Rhinolophus ferrumequinum: one gene and its partner. The protein of the gene in region 1 interacts with the protein of each later gene in a pairwise test. Links are inferred from orthologs where the notes say so. Each region holds a gene or a part of one and is shown in the gene's direction. Other genes may lie near its edges.

Region 1 (7,472 bases):
TTTTACCCTTGATCAGGAAATTTAATGTGGTAGGCTTTAGTATTCAGAAAGGAAGAAATGGGAGCACATTTTAACCGAGCACACATTAAATGCAGGTACTGTGCTGGACTATTTCAAAACAATTGTCTTAGTTACTAGGTAAACATTGTCTTTATTACCTCTAAGAATTCATAAAGTTTTCTAGAACCCTACAGATTTGTTTTACTTATTTTGTAGTATATTAATGCAGCTCTTATGTTGCAGGATTCTTTACTACTGCTCTTCTTTGAAGGTAGATTATCGCATTGTTTACAGAAGATACATGAGTGAGATGCTAGGTTGGCAGATGGTACCTTCACTCAGGAACTTTTATTTTAAAAAGTTAATAATGGACAAACATTAACTTACCCAAAAATTTAAAATACTGTTTCCATTAAAGAGGCATTTTGTGTGTATGCTTTTTAAAAGTTTGATAGGAAGGGAGAGGCAGTGGGGGGATTATCAGAGAGACGCAACTTTGAGGAAAGGCTATTGTAAAGAGTTTGTAATATAGCTCTCAGAAACATAGGAAATCTAAAACCTTAGAATTGGAAAGAACTTAGAGATCATTTAGTCTAAACTTGGACTCACTTTATTGAGAAAGAAACTACCCAGAGAGAGGAAATGTCTTGCCCAAGGATAGAACTCAGGTTTCTTAACTCCCAGATGATAGTCATTAATTATAAATAACTGTTTGTAATAATTGTTTGATAGTACCTTTATGTAGCAAGCTATAGAAGAGTCATATCTTTCTTGGGCAGTTCCAGAATCCCCACTCCATATCTGATCCCTATAATCCAGTGTGGTATGTATTTGACACAGACTTGGTCTGGCAATGAGAAAACAATATTCAATTTCAATCTTGGGTCTCAGCGTAATTTGATATATTATATCACTGTAGTCAATTGTACCCTGAGAAGCTTTAAAAGGATGGTATTCCAAGAATTGGTATTAGTGTGAAAAACTAAGTGTTTTGTTTCTCTTTCACTTTTTCACACATCCACAGTTCCGGGGTGGGGGGTAAAAGAGGGGTAATTCACTCTGGTGGTCAAGGGAGGGAGGCATTGTAAATGGTGGGAAGAACACATACAAAGGCCTAAAGGTTTGAGACTTATAGTGGGTTCGGGGTCCTTTGAGAGAACCAGGCCTGCTCGAGCCTGTGCACCTTGGACTTTAGCTTGAAGACAGTGGGGAGCCATTGAAGGATTTAGAGCAGGATTTAGGGCAGGATTTAAAGCATGAATATAGTTAGTTGCTTTGAATATTTTTGTAAAATCACACAATAACATATGAATATATTCTTACATTAATTACAACACTAAATCTAAAGCCAAAGTTCTCCTTTACCAACCCTTCCATCCCGTTTATTCTCAGAGGTAACCACTGTTGTGTTTGGTGTACATACATGCATAAGAGATATATCTAGGATTATTTTATATGTGTGTTTTAAAACAAATATTACCCTGTCAAGAGAACAATTTGAGAGGTAGAGCTTGGGTTGGGGCAATATTGAGAGCCAGCTGGCCATCTGTTTACTTTGCTTGGTGTTCACAGAGTATTTTGTGAACATTCCAGTTTTAAAGTAAGATTCTCACCCAGGGATTGGTGCTGTGGGAACCATCTGGTAGACCCCAACCACGACAGCTGCAAACCCTCACAGCCATATCTGCAAGGTCTGTCTGTACTACGGCCTACTCTGGGTCAAAAGTTTGCTTCCTGCAGTTGTGCAATTATGGGACAGCTGGAATCCTCATATTAAATGTTCCTTGTTCATATGAGGGAATGGACAATGTGTTTGCCATTTGTTATGGAACAAGTGAGGATTCAAACATAACCATGGGGTCCTTTTCTAAGGGAAACAAAACATTATTTGGGGTTTGATCTTTTACATTTTTTTTTTTAAAGATTTTATTGGGGAAGGGGAACAGGACTTTATTGGGGAACAGTGTGTACTTCCAGACCTTTTTTCCAAGTCAAGTTGTTGTCCTTTCAATCTTAGGGGTGGAGGGTGCCATTCAGCTTCAAGTTGTTGTTCTTTCAGTCTTAGTTGTGGAGGGCGCAACTCAGCTCCAGGTCCAGTTGCGGTTACTAGTTGCAGGGGGCGCAGCCCACCATCCCTTGCGGGAGTCGAACCGGCAGCCTTGTGGTTGAGAGCCCACTGGCCCATGTGGGAATCGAACCGGCAGCCTTCAGAGTTAGGAGCATGGAGCTCTAACCGCCTGAGCTACCGGACCGACCCCTGATCTTTTACATTTTTAATAAAAGCATATATGTAACAAAACATATCTATATATTGAAGTGGTTTTTCATGATCAATACTCAAGTTAAACATTATTATTACCAAATTAACAGAATAAAGACTTCTAATATATTTGGGCATACGCATAGCTTACCTCTTATTAGGACTGTTACTAAAGTGAGGTTTGGGGGTGTGGGATCCAAGGAATGTTGTTTTCAGGAATACATGTGGATAGATTTATTCTCTCATTCATTCATTCAGTACACATTTAGTACCTGTTATGGGCCTGATCATTTCTAAGGCACTGGTTGAATCACTCTGTGCCCTTTACTCTTTAAATTAAAGTTCCCAGCCCTCTTGGACAGATACATAATGTAACAACTACCTATAATGTATTTTACATACAACCAGTGCTCTTCCAGTTATTCCACTCTTTAAACTATTCCAAAGTCCTGAGGAAAAGCCAAAAGGTTAAAAATCTTCCATGGGAACATGCCCTATACACCTATAATAAGGCCACTTCCTGGGACTTGAAATTCCGAAAGAGGTAATGGGGGGTGGGGTTTGCAAATGTTTTATTGTGTTCTTGAGAAATGTTTGGGATTTGTTCAAGTCCTAGACTGGGACCCAAGGCTCCTGAACAGGAGGGCATAGGTCATAACTAAGGATGCAATTTACTTGGATTTCCCCTGACCTTAATCCAATACACAGTTGCCTGGGTTAGGGCTAATTCAAAGGCATTTAAACAGGATTCAAGCTTTTCCTAAAACAGATTAGGGAGCAAGCTTTTCCTAAAACAGATTAGGGAGAAGCACTTTCAACAGGACCTTGTTGCAGGATTACTAAAAAATTCAAACAATAAGACTTAAATGTTATATTCAGTTGTATACACTCTTTCAGCAAATCTGGAAATACAAGAGTCGTGACATTTGCAACATCTTGCTTAAAAATGATTATAAATACAAGGTGTGATTGAAAAATATAGTGAATGTTTACATTTTAAAAATTTATTACACTAAAAGATACATTGCTATTACTCCCCCCTCAAAAACACTTATCCCATCATTCTTGCCACATTCTGAAGCAGTTCTATAAGTCCTGTTTCGTGTCTTTACTTCATCCTCCATTATGACAATGCTCCATATCACACATCACTTCTGGTAGGGCAATTTTCAAATAAAAACATTACGGGTGTGTCCTCATCCACCTTATTCACCAGATCAGGCCCCAAGTGACTTCTGGCTCTTCTCCAAAGTCAAAATGACCATAAAAACTAAACGTTTTGAATCGATTCAGGACATCGAGGCAGCCTTGGCAGCACAATTAAACACATTCACAAACGAGGACTTCCAGAACTGCTTCAGAAAGTGGCAAGACCTATGGAATAAGTGTGTTCGAAGCAAGGGGGAGTATTTTGAGGGGGATTAATGGCAATGTGTCTTTTACTGTAATACATTTTTTTAATTTAAACTTTCACTGTATGTTTTGATCACATCTCGTTTATTAATATTCTCTATTACTTAAAGGGAAAATGATGGAGATGGAAAATGATGGAAAATGATGGAGATGGAGAAGCCTTGGGAACTGTTCCCCGGAAAGCTTCCAGAACGTCAGCACAAGTCTGTAAAGGGAAGTGGGGGCGTTCCACGGGTGGACTATGGAGGGTGTCTGTAGCTGTGCCAAAGACAAAAAACTTACCAAGAGAGTATACATAACCCTGCTCACCCAAGCCTGCTTTACACGCCAAAGAGGGAACCTGCTTTCTCCCAACTGGGAACAAACTGAAGGCAAAGGTAGGTCCCAAGGAACCAAATGCCCCCTCCTTCCACTCCCATAATCTCTCCCTCCGTACCCACGTCTGATAGAGCTGGGTGACCCAGAGCTGACCCATAGGCCACTCGGACCTCCTTCTCCTCCCCGCGCCCCCAAACACCACCGAGACGGACGACGGTTTCCCAAGCCGCAGGAATAAGCAAGAGCCCCGGGAACATCTCAGCCTAGTCACCAACCCTCCCCGTCGTCATAGTGACCGCCTGAGCCCCCGCAGCCCCGCCCCTTCCTCGCGACGCGGCTCCACCCCCTCCAAACCCGGAAGTGTGAGAGTCGCGCCCGCTACGCGGAAGGTTTGGGAGGAGGGAGCGCGGCGGCCCAGGCTTGCTCCGCCGCGCGCCCCGCCCCTCGGAGGCCGGCCCTCCGGTTCGCCCCCACTGCCTGCTTTGCCTGCTGCTCCTGAGCGCTGCGGACACCGGCCCCGAAAGGGGCTCTGCCGTCTTCGCGGCCCGCTCCTGTACAGGAGGGAAGAGCCGCCCTGGGGAGAAAGGAAAGGGACGTGGGGGCGGCCACGGCAGGTGAGGGATGGGTGAGGCCCTGGAAAGCGGGGGTGTGGTGTGTAATGTGTATGGGGTTGCAAGTGGGTGTGTATATAATATGCGCTGCTGCCTCTGTTAGTGTGACTTTGTGAGTGGGCCAGTCCACGTGACCATGCACGTGATCACGTGTGTGTGTGTGTGTGTGTGTGTGTGTGCGCGCGCGCGCGCGCGCGCTCTAGTCTTGAGTTCATGGGGGTGGTCGGTGTGCCTGTGACTCTGCCTTTGTGTCACCGATGGGACTGGGAGAGGGTGGGGGGCGCTTGACCTAGGCATACTCCTGTAATCCTATTCTGGGGCTACACTGCTGCAGCCCAGGAACATGTTTTCCAGTAAACTTAAGAACTCTGAGCAGAGGCCAGTTATTTTGGAGATTGTGCCTCAGTTTGAAAGTGACAAATGTCTTTGTCATTGCTGAGTAGGGCCAGGGGGATGAGAAAAGTAGCAGGGCTAGAATGTCTCACTTTTCCTCTTTTCGTTTTCCTGGGGAGGTATGAGTTCTGCATTTGTGCTGCTTCTCCACCTACGGTGTTCCAGCTCCTGTTAGCACAAAGATTCAAGAGACTGAGGAGTAACTTAATAGCTGTATGCAAATTTCTAAAAGCTTTTATACCAAGACAGAACACAAAATGAGGTGTCACAGAAGAAATGTCAAGTAGGCAGCTTTTCCTCCCATGAGATTTAGAAGATAATGGAAAAGGTTCATGAAGAAAAGAAGGATAAATCTTCCCCTAAAGAGATCTAAAAGGATGGTTATGTCGTGGTATGGTAAGGTACTGGAGACTTGTATTAAAAAGCCAAATGCATCACCCAGAGACTCTCAGGTTCAATATTTTATTATTGCTGGTATTAATAATAATCACAGATTGTCCATATGTAGATCAACTACAGATAGAGATAAAGGATCAGAAAACCTCTGACTAGTTAAGCTGGTTATGAGACACTAGTTAAGCTGGTTATGTGACACATTTGTCAAGGTGATTCCATTGACTGTAAACTGGCAGCTTCTGTTGAGACGCAGAGAGATAAGTGCTGGTAATTCTTCATGCACACTCACAACTGGCAGTTTTGTTGTCAAGCATCACATGGGCCAGAGAGGATGGGGTGTCCAAAGCATCCCTGAGGAGGGCTTTCCTTAGGCAAGATTAAGGCTAATCTCTGCAGCTCTTTCCCTACCAGCATGAACAGGTGCTTTTGTTTTTGTGAAGAATTGAATTGTGAGAGATCAAATCAGTGCTGAACTCTTGGCTCACATTCTTTCTTATTTCATACCAACCAGTTTGGTCACGATCTCAGTTAACCTTTTTTTGCCATATACAGAATGTTCCTCTTGTGACTTGGAAAAGTATACCCCTTTAGTGGATGAAAGAGCTAGGAGAACAACTTCCTTCTCATATCGCCCCCAGCTGTTCTCCCTTTGCAGCAGTGAGCTTTTTTTTTTTTTCACTCAGATGGCAGTTGGTCATAAGCAACATTTGGTATCGATCTTACCTTTCATGTACTGCCAAATTAGCACAAGTGTTAAAATCACTTGCCTCTACAAAAATGTAGTCACAGTTGGGTGGAATCTCTCCATCCAGTAAGATTAGTTATAAAATGTTATGATACTGGGGTAGTTGTGAATAGTACTGAGGACTGAGGTAAGGAACGTATTTCTATTTCTTGCTGTAGGAAGAAGTGGATGACAGTCAATGTGTACCTGTGTGTGATGTATATTTGTATAGTAGTTTTGTTTGTACATTGCAGTTGATTCCAAATTACGAATATTTTATGCCAAGTTTGGTAAATCTAGAAGGAAACTTTCCAGCTTTAATTAGCTAAGGGATTTTTATAAATCTATTGAGTAGATTTTTTGTTTTTTCTCTAAACATGTTTTTGATATTTCTTCCTGTAAAATGTAATTGTTTATAATAATGCAATACTAGAAAATGTCTCCATTAGGAATTTTTTAGGTGATATAGGAATATTTCAAGTCTATCCAGGTGAAAAATATTCCAGAATATGTGCTAGTTGCTTTTAATTAAAAGTAATAACCAGCTTAGAGAAAGGCTATAGTTCAGATGACTAAGATTTTTTAACGTGTTAGTATTTGTTAAGAGAAAATGAATATACAAAGAATGATTTTCCTTATTTCGGTATGAATAATAACTATGTGCACAACTGATTTTCAGTGTAAGACTGGCTAATGATTTGCTTAATATTTTAGAGCAACTTACGATTTTAACAAATTTTTCTGAAAATACCATCCTAGCCTTGAGAGAAGAGACCACTATTACAAGGGCAAGATTGTAAATCAAATTTAATATTGGATGTCTACATATACTACCTCCTTGGGGTTCAATTTAGTAACCCCCAAGTCAGAGGTAACATTTGAGACTGAGTGCCCTGTGCTCCTGAGGGAGAAGTGGAGGGCCAAGGAGGGAGAGTTGCGTTGCGTTTAGAATCCCCTGCCCCTGGCCACTCCAGAGAAGCCCCTCTAAAATGACAGTTCCGAGTTCAGCCCATGAGTTCAGTTCTAGGGTCTTGAATTTATCCTGTCCCTGCTAGGAAATGCCCTGGGGTAGAGAACAGGGTACGATGCAAGTATTTGAATCCTTCCAAAACCGATGGGTGGAAGTTCCTCATTTGGCAATAAGAATCTGCAACAGGGAACTATAATTTCAGGTTCCTGTTATGACATTACATAGATACCTAAGCAAAGAGGGGCAGCCTTTAAATTGATAATACTCAGCCAGTTTAACACCGTTCGTTGCCCGGGTTAGAAGGGACTCTGGAATTGCCTAGTTCAATCTCATTAGGACAGCGTCACTCATTTAGTCAACAGATGATGCCTGCTGGTGACAAGCACT
Region 2 (7,786 bases), on another chromosome or scaffold:
TCCCCAAATCTCTTTTCCTTTCACAATAAATCTTTTGCATTCCTAACTCCATCTCAGTTTTTGCTTCCTTGAGAACCCCGCTTGTGACACTGCATTTCACTGGAGTCTAAGGCATCGTTATTATATGTCACTGAGGAAGGAAAAACGATGCCATTTAAACCATAGCACACTACTGAAAGGGAGGAGCTTTATTTCAGAGATATGAAAAAATGTGCATCCTAAAATAGGGAAAATGTCGTAGTTAATTATATTTTACTTCAACTCCCATTTCTAATCTGAGTCACCTAGAAAGAACTTTGGTGGCTTCAATTACCTAAAAGAAGCAGTACGTGAGTAGCCAGATCCAACTGGCCCACGTTTTGGTTGAAAATCACAAGTGGGCCACCTCTAGGATTAGGAAGGTTCCATTTGGCTCTTACAAAGCCCTTGTTGAGCAAGGGTCAATCAGTGGGTCACCTCTTCTGTCCAATTTCAGTTCTACGGCTGTGGACAGAAGAGTCTGACATCTTGTGAGCAAAGGAAAGGACCAATGAGAGCCCTAAGAGAACACGTCAGCTGGTGCCACACCGCCTCTGAAGCAGTCCCCCTTTGAGACAAGTGCCGGGTCACCACAAGGTCCTGCAATCACGCACCTGAGCACCTGTGGGGTAGACAGTCTCCTTTTGTATTCCCCTTTCTCCACTGAGAAAAGATAGGTGCAAAGACTTTCTGAAACAAGCCCGAGACTGACAGGATCCTACCTGATTTCTCATTGTAAGCTGCTGCTCCAGTACCCTGTGAAAAATGAAAGTGGTTTAAAAAAAACTGAAACCAAATGACTACAGACTACTGATAACAAATACAGCCTAATAAGCACAGAGCAACAGAAATTCTGCTAAAAGCACTGGGTTTGAGAGGGAAGGGGAACACATGTTTGTTCATTTGTTTAATCTGTGTGCCTGAAATACTTGAAATACTAAATGTTCTAGCAAACAATGACCCTACCCCACTTTCCTAGAGGCCAGTACACTTCTAATTCAACATGGGTTGGAGATTAACACTTGAAAAGGCCCAAAGATCACAGGCCAAAAGGACCCAAAACTTTCAGACAGGCCTCCAATTTCCAAAGGCTTGTAGGGTTTCTCTAGACAGAACAGAAGACATGCGGACATGAGCTTCATCAGCTATATCTTCCTGTCTACCAATAAGGACCCACTTTTCAATTGCTTATCTTCCTCCATCCTCCTCCTCTACCCCATCCTGCAAAAAAGCAGAATTGCTGCATGAGAAGATAGAATAAAAATGATACTGAAGTCATATTTTTAAAAATCATCGATCCTCATGTTGACTCTGTTGATTAGATTAGCATGTTCTTGATTCCTCTTCTCCCACATGGTACAGGGAGACAACTTTTATTGGGCTATTAAAACCAAGTACGAATACTGGGCATAACTGAAGACCCAGATTTCGTGCTTAGTTATAGGAAGTACTATGCCTGATCAAAGTTCATGATTTATGTGAGTATACATTTATAAAAAAGTACTTTTACCTTGGAAAAGTCCATCCTCCAAGTACCTGGGGTCTTTCAATGTTTATACTCTGTTTTGCGTTTCTGAGCGTAGACTGCTGTTTCCAATTATGGTGGTCCACTTCTAGGAATGAATAGAAAGGATGCAATAAGCACTGATCAGCATCTTAGGAAATTTGATAAGAATACGCCATAGGAAGACAAAACATGATTTCTGATCTTGAGTAGCTTTTAGTTTTACTGGTGAAGATGCCCTATTGTTTTTCTGCTGTGGTTACTGTTTACCTTCTGTCCTTTACAGAGAGGTTCCAGTTGAAACCGTAATGGCAGTTCAGAGAGGGGAAAGAACCATAAGGGTTATAGTAGGGAAAGCTTTATGGAGAAGGTGAGACGAGAGCCAGACCTTGAGGGATGGAGCAGGTTTGTATATAGTTAATTGGAAGAGGAGAATGATTCCAAGAGCTAAGACAGAGCACAGCATTCAAAGAACAATGAGGCAAAACCAGCTTTATGAGTATGAAGACCCCTGGAGAATGTCTGAAGAAAGCAAACTGTACTTATGCCTGTCAAGGATATGTGTTACTGAGCCTATGATAAATTTGCTGATCTAATTAGAAAGGGGACTGTCTGGATAAACATCAGAAACTCTGGAAAAACATATTTCAATGATTTTCCATCTAATATGTAGGGATCAAATTTTTGGAGACCAACAAAAATGCTTAACAACACAGTTGCCTACACTTGTTGCCCACATAGTTGTCGTTAGGCCTCTGAAATGATTTCTAATGCCTTTGTAATGAAAAATTTTGTACGACTATCTACAGCATCAGGGAACTATTATTCCTACATGTCAGGAAAAGCAGCAAGTCCAATACAGTCCTAAAGTGTGAGGACAAGATGCATTTTTGCCTCCAGAGGGCACTGCTGTTTTCACAAAAGAGGGAAGTCTCCTGTCTGCTTTGGCTGTGGACATCAGGTGGGCTTTTGCTTCAGATGCTGTAGCACTTATGTTTTTCCTTCGACCAGGCTTTTAAGGCCTAAGGATAGACTCTTGAGGGTGGGGTGAGGGGTTATTAAACCCCAAAGAAATTAGAAACAAGGAGCATATTGCTCAGAACATTCAATCTCTCTCATTTTAAAAACAACACCAATTAACAACAAAAGCCTTCCCAACTTTCCCTTACTAGTTCCTACTGTGTTCTTTTCTCCGCATGGGCAGCATGAAGAGGTTGACTCTCCCCCATCCGTCTGCCTGCTCGGCCCACTGTGGTGGACTCCTGCCCCACCCCCAGCACTCCTCTGAAACTGCTCATCAGTGATCTCCACAAGGTTAACCCCAGTGGACTCTCTTCTGTCCTAATCTTTACTTGACTTCTCTCTATCATCATTTCATTCTTTGAGTCCTAAAACTCTGCCTTCTTGGCTTCTCCTATGCTATCTTCCCTTGGTTCTTTTGTTACCTTTCACTTTGCCTTTACAGGCCCTTTGCTTGGATTCACCTCCCTACACCCACCCGACCCGCTCCGAAATTCATGCTCTCTCTCCTGGATTCCACAGCTCAGTCAATGATACACCATTTACCCACTCAAGTCAGAAATCTAGAATCTCCTCTTTTGTCCCAGATGGAACCCATCACTTGGGTCCAAAGCACCCACTTTCAAATATGCCCCTACCCTCCTTGCCCACTGACATCATTTCACTTCAGGGCCTCTTGTCTGAGCTATGTCATTCTCTTTAAAGATTTTAATGTATTTAATTTTACATTTCATTGTTTGAATTGGTATTATGTTTACTGGTTCAAATTCAGAAACTGTAAAAGGCGCCCTCCTACCTCTAACTGCAGAATCACAAAGCCCATGCAGCTGTAATGCTGATAGTACTGCCAAAATGGCTTGGATTCTGCAAAATCCAAGCCTGTCTCAGGCCTGTCTTATCTCAAAAACCTTATCTCAGGCCTGTCTACTTCCTTTGTCCCTGCTTGGAAATGTGTCCTCCACATGGTTGTCCACGCCATGTTTCTAAAATGCACTTCTGACCTGTCACTCTGTTTCCGGTGCTCACAACCCTTCCGTTTCTCCCCACTGATCTTCAAGACTTTTCACTGTCTAGATCTGCGCTGTCCGCTGTGGGCCATTAGCCACATGGAGCTCTTGTACGCCCCAAATGTGGCTCCTTAGTCCCAATTGAGTGAGATGTGATGTAAGTGTGAGATAAACACCAGGTAGTAATGACTCAGTATGACAAAAAGCATGTAAAGTATCTCATACGGTTTTAAGATTGCTTACATGCTGAATGATTAATTTGAGATACAGGAACGATTACATGTAAGATTATATTGAATTAAATAACATCATTAAAATTCAGCTGTTTATGCTTTTTAAAATATGGCTACTAAATATTTTTAAATTAGATATGTGGTTCCTATTAGATATGTGGACAGCACTGATCTAGACCCTTCCTCTGTCACGTCCCTCACCCATCTCATCTCCTCCAAGGCCCCAAAGCTCCCTCTGCTTCAGATCACAAGGGTCCTTGGGCCTCAGATGCTCCTTCCCTCCCGACCCCTACACACTCACACACACATTCTCTAAGACTCTGCTGCAGACTTCCTCTTGGGCGCTTTCAAGAGATTTGCTTCTTTATTCACAAGTCCGCCTCCCTTTACCAGCCTGTGAGGTCGCTGGCCTCTGCGTTCATCTTTATTCCCCAGTACAAAGGGCAGCACACAGTCCGGTTTTGTTGGCCAAATCACGCTCCAAGAGCCAGTCTAAAGGATAGAGCTGGAGGGAGGTAACAGGTGATATGTCATAATGCAGGAGAACACTTTCAGTTTTTTTCAAATGTAGGTATTAATCCGAATTCACAATGTGAATTACATTTTAGCTGCACACAATAGTAACAATAAGAGTTAAAAGGAATCACAAACTCGGGAGAAACTTCGACTTCAGCCTCTGACCAGTCTCACCCTCTCCTGGGTTGGAGGCGGGGGCCGCCTGGCCCTAGGAGCCCGTTTCTCGCCCGCCCCACCCCTACCTCGGCCAAGCCCGCAGAAAAGGAGACGCGAAAGCCTTGGGCGCCCACCGCTCGGGGGGACACGGGACCGACATACTCACCCGGCCAGACGGCGGCAGGGAAGGCAGCAAGGAGAGGAAGGAGAGTAGCTGTGCTGGGAACAGGGAGGGATCTCGGGGAAAGCGAAACTGAAACTTTGAGGCCCAAGGCGACGAGGCGGGACGCACCCCTGCCCCAGTCCCTGTCCCAGCAGAGGCCGGAGCCGGTGCGCCAGCTCGACGCCGAGAGCCATGGCCTCGAACCGCCGCTCGCCGTCCCCGCTGCTCGTGCGGGTGTCCGAGACGGATCTCCAGCAACCTCTCCACCGGAAGCTGGAACGCTACTTGCAGAGCCGGCGCTCCGGCGGCGGGGAGTGCACCGTTAGACCCCTGGGCCCGGGCGCGCCGGGCACCTTCGTGGTGGAGTTCGTGGAAAGGGCAGGTGAGCCGCGGGCCGGGCTGGGGCTGCAAAGGCCGCCCCTGCGGCCCAGCCTCACGGGATTCCAGGCTAACCCAGTGTGAGCTGGCCTAGGAGAGAGGGCGGGAGAAAGTATGGCACCTGTTTGATGGGGCACGGGAACCGCGGGCTCTTGCTGACAAGAGACGCAGCCCGCAGCCACGGAGGATGGAGTCCAGAGGTGCCCAGTCTGGGATCTTGGTCTGACAGCGCCGCCTTCGAGTTCACGCTTTCCAGTATCCTCGTCCTGCCTTATAGTATTTCTCAGCTCTCAAAAAAGCACCTTTCCCTACCCCAGACGTTTGTCACCCCGTGCCCTTTAGGTTTTCCACTTTTATGTTTTAAATAATTATTCCTTTGATTTATTCTTGAGGATTACAAAAGTAATATATGCGCACTATAGAAATGACAAAAAGAAGAAAACCACCTGGAGATAAACAATGTGAACATTTTCGTATATTTCTTCCAGGCTATTTCTATGAACGTCAGTAAACACATATGTATATTTACAAAATTCGGAGTCTGCACTGTTGATTCCCTACTTTTCTCACTCCACTTTATGTGATGAATATTATTCCACATCATTGAAATGGGAAACCGAGACAGTTTCAGAGACATGACTTTTAATGAGTGGACGATGTTCCATATCATTGAGATTTCATTTCTGCAGTAAAACTTAAGCTGCCTGCTTGAGAGTTTTGAATAGCTCTCTCACACCCCCTATTACCAACCACCATCCCAGGATGCCGGGGCAGGCTACAGATACATGAATACCCTGTTTCCCTGAAAATAAGACCTAGCCAGACAAACAGCTCTAATGCGTCTTTTGGAGCAAAAATTAATATAAGACCGGGTATTATATTGTATAAGACCCGGTCTTATATATTAATATTAAGACTGGGTCTTAATATTAATTTTTGCTCCAAAAGACGCATTAGAGCTGATTGTTCGGCTAGGTGTTATTTTCGGGGAAACACAGTAAGAGGATTTGAAATCACTTATATGCCTATGTGTATGTGTGTGTTTAATGTCTCCACTGAAGCTAAGGAGGGAGTGTTGAAAAAGGAAAAGCACCAAATTGTGGTTAAGGACAAACCTGTGCCTATCTTCCTGGAACCCACCGAAAATCCAATAGAGAAAAATAGGAGACCCAGAATGTCTTCGCTCACACAGTCACATGAAGGGGTGAGGTCTGATGAGAAGCATCCACCTGAAGAACATATTCCTAATGCTGTGGATTCCTGTGGCCAAAAGGTGAGTATTGAAAGAAGGAGCTGGGTATGTGCTTGCAACTTGCTCTCCAGTCACCATACCTTTCATTATTGGCCCAACAGTTATTGGCCTGAGGACTTACTATGTATGAGCCAGGCGCTGTCTTAGGCACTGGAACACACAGAGATGAACACAACAGGTCCCTGCTGGGCGAGGGGGAGGTACAAAGAAGGACCATAAGCAAATAAAATAAATAAAACAATTTCAGAAAGTGGTATGTGCCATACAGATTGACGGACAGGGCCAGGAAGGGGAAGGGTGGCACTACTTATGACCAGAAGTCAGAGACAACTTCTCTGAGATGACAAATTTGGCCTGAGGCTTGAATGATGAGAAGGAGCCAGCCAAGCAAAGAGTCATTTGACAAATCGTTATCAACTGTCTACTGAGTGCCAGGCACGATTACAGGAGCTGGGGATACAGCCAGGAACACAGCAGACCCTGCCCTCAGGGACCTCCCATTCTAGTGAGGGAAACAGACACCAACAGCTAACAAATAGGTTTATAATAACATGTCTGCCAGTGAAAGTGCTAAGAAGAAGAAGAAAGCTGGATAAGTGGCAGACAGTGACAGAACCACTACTTTAAATAGGGTATCAAGTAAAGCCTGTCTAATGAAGTCGCATCTGAGTTGAGACATGAGTGAAGTAAGGAAGCTAGCTAGCTAAGTGGATTTCTGAGGGAAGAATGTTGTACGTGGAGGTGCAAAGGCCCCAAGTGCAAAGGCCCCAAGACAGGAGCTTAAATCCTGAGCCCCAGGAGCTTCAAGGAGAGAAGCCAGTGTGGCTGGAGAGTAGTGAGCAAGGGAGAGAGTGATAGGAGAGGAACTTGGAGAGGTATCCAGAAGAGTCCGATCTTTGGGGATGAAGGTAAAGACTGGATTTTAATTTAAATGGTAGGGGATTATCAGATGGTGCTGAGCCAGGGGAGTGGAGTGATCCGATGTGCATCTCTAAAGGATCAGTTTGGCTGCTGTGTGAACGGAATGTAGGCAGGGGCTAGAGTGGAAGGTCAGAGTCCAATTAGGAGGGTTGCAGTGGACCAGGTGCAAGATGATAATACCTTGGACTCTGGGTGGTCCGGATGGAGGTTTAAGAAGTGACTGGATTGAGGAAACATTTGAAGGAAGACCTGGAAGAAGGATGGTACATACAGAGGAAATGGCATGTGCAAAGATCTTGAGGAGGAACAAAATATTAGAAATCTTGCTTTTATGTTACATTCAATGTGTCTGTCTTTTTTAGCCTGGTCTGATGTGCTTGTCTTATATTTGATCTTCTAAAGGTTAGGGTTTAGAGGGCCCACCAACATTGCATGTGGTTAGGTGTTTAGTTATTTATTTTTATTTTATTTTAAAGGAAGGGGTTGAAGTAAACAAAACACAGTAGTAGGAAAATACATCCTCTTCAGATTTATGGCTCTCTTCCAGGCTCACAGACTCGTTAGTGAGAACCACAGCAGCTTGCCCAGAAAAAGGAAGTGCTTTCCCTACACCCCATT

The links.
Region 2: the proteins of SPG21 (region 1) and DTX3L interact in binary tests that used the Homo sapiens proteins (3 or more experiments, as listed by UniProt). The two-hybrid records come from large-scale screens. The link is inferred for Rhinolophus ferrumequinum from reciprocal best matches to the Homo sapiens genes SPG21 and DTX3L.

The regions. Positions count from the first base shown.
Region 1 is NC_046289.1:45,702,409-45,709,880, forward strand, and holds the start of SPG21 (maspardin), read left to right. Parts: upstream 1-4,467; 5' UTR 4,468-4,605; intron 4,606-7,472. UniProt on the Homo sapiens protein: May play a role as a negative regulatory factor in CD4-dependent T-cell activation.
Region 2 is NC_046285.1:47,308,883-47,316,668, forward strand, and holds the start of DTX3L (E3 ubiquitin-protein ligase DTX3L), read left to right. Parts: upstream 1-4,774; 5' UTR 4,775-4,809; coding exon 4,810-4,999; intron 5,000-6,056; coding exon 6,057-6,268; intron 6,269-7,786. Other genes in the region: protein mono-ADP-ribosyltransferase PARP9, read right to left, coding at 633-774, 1,529-1,543.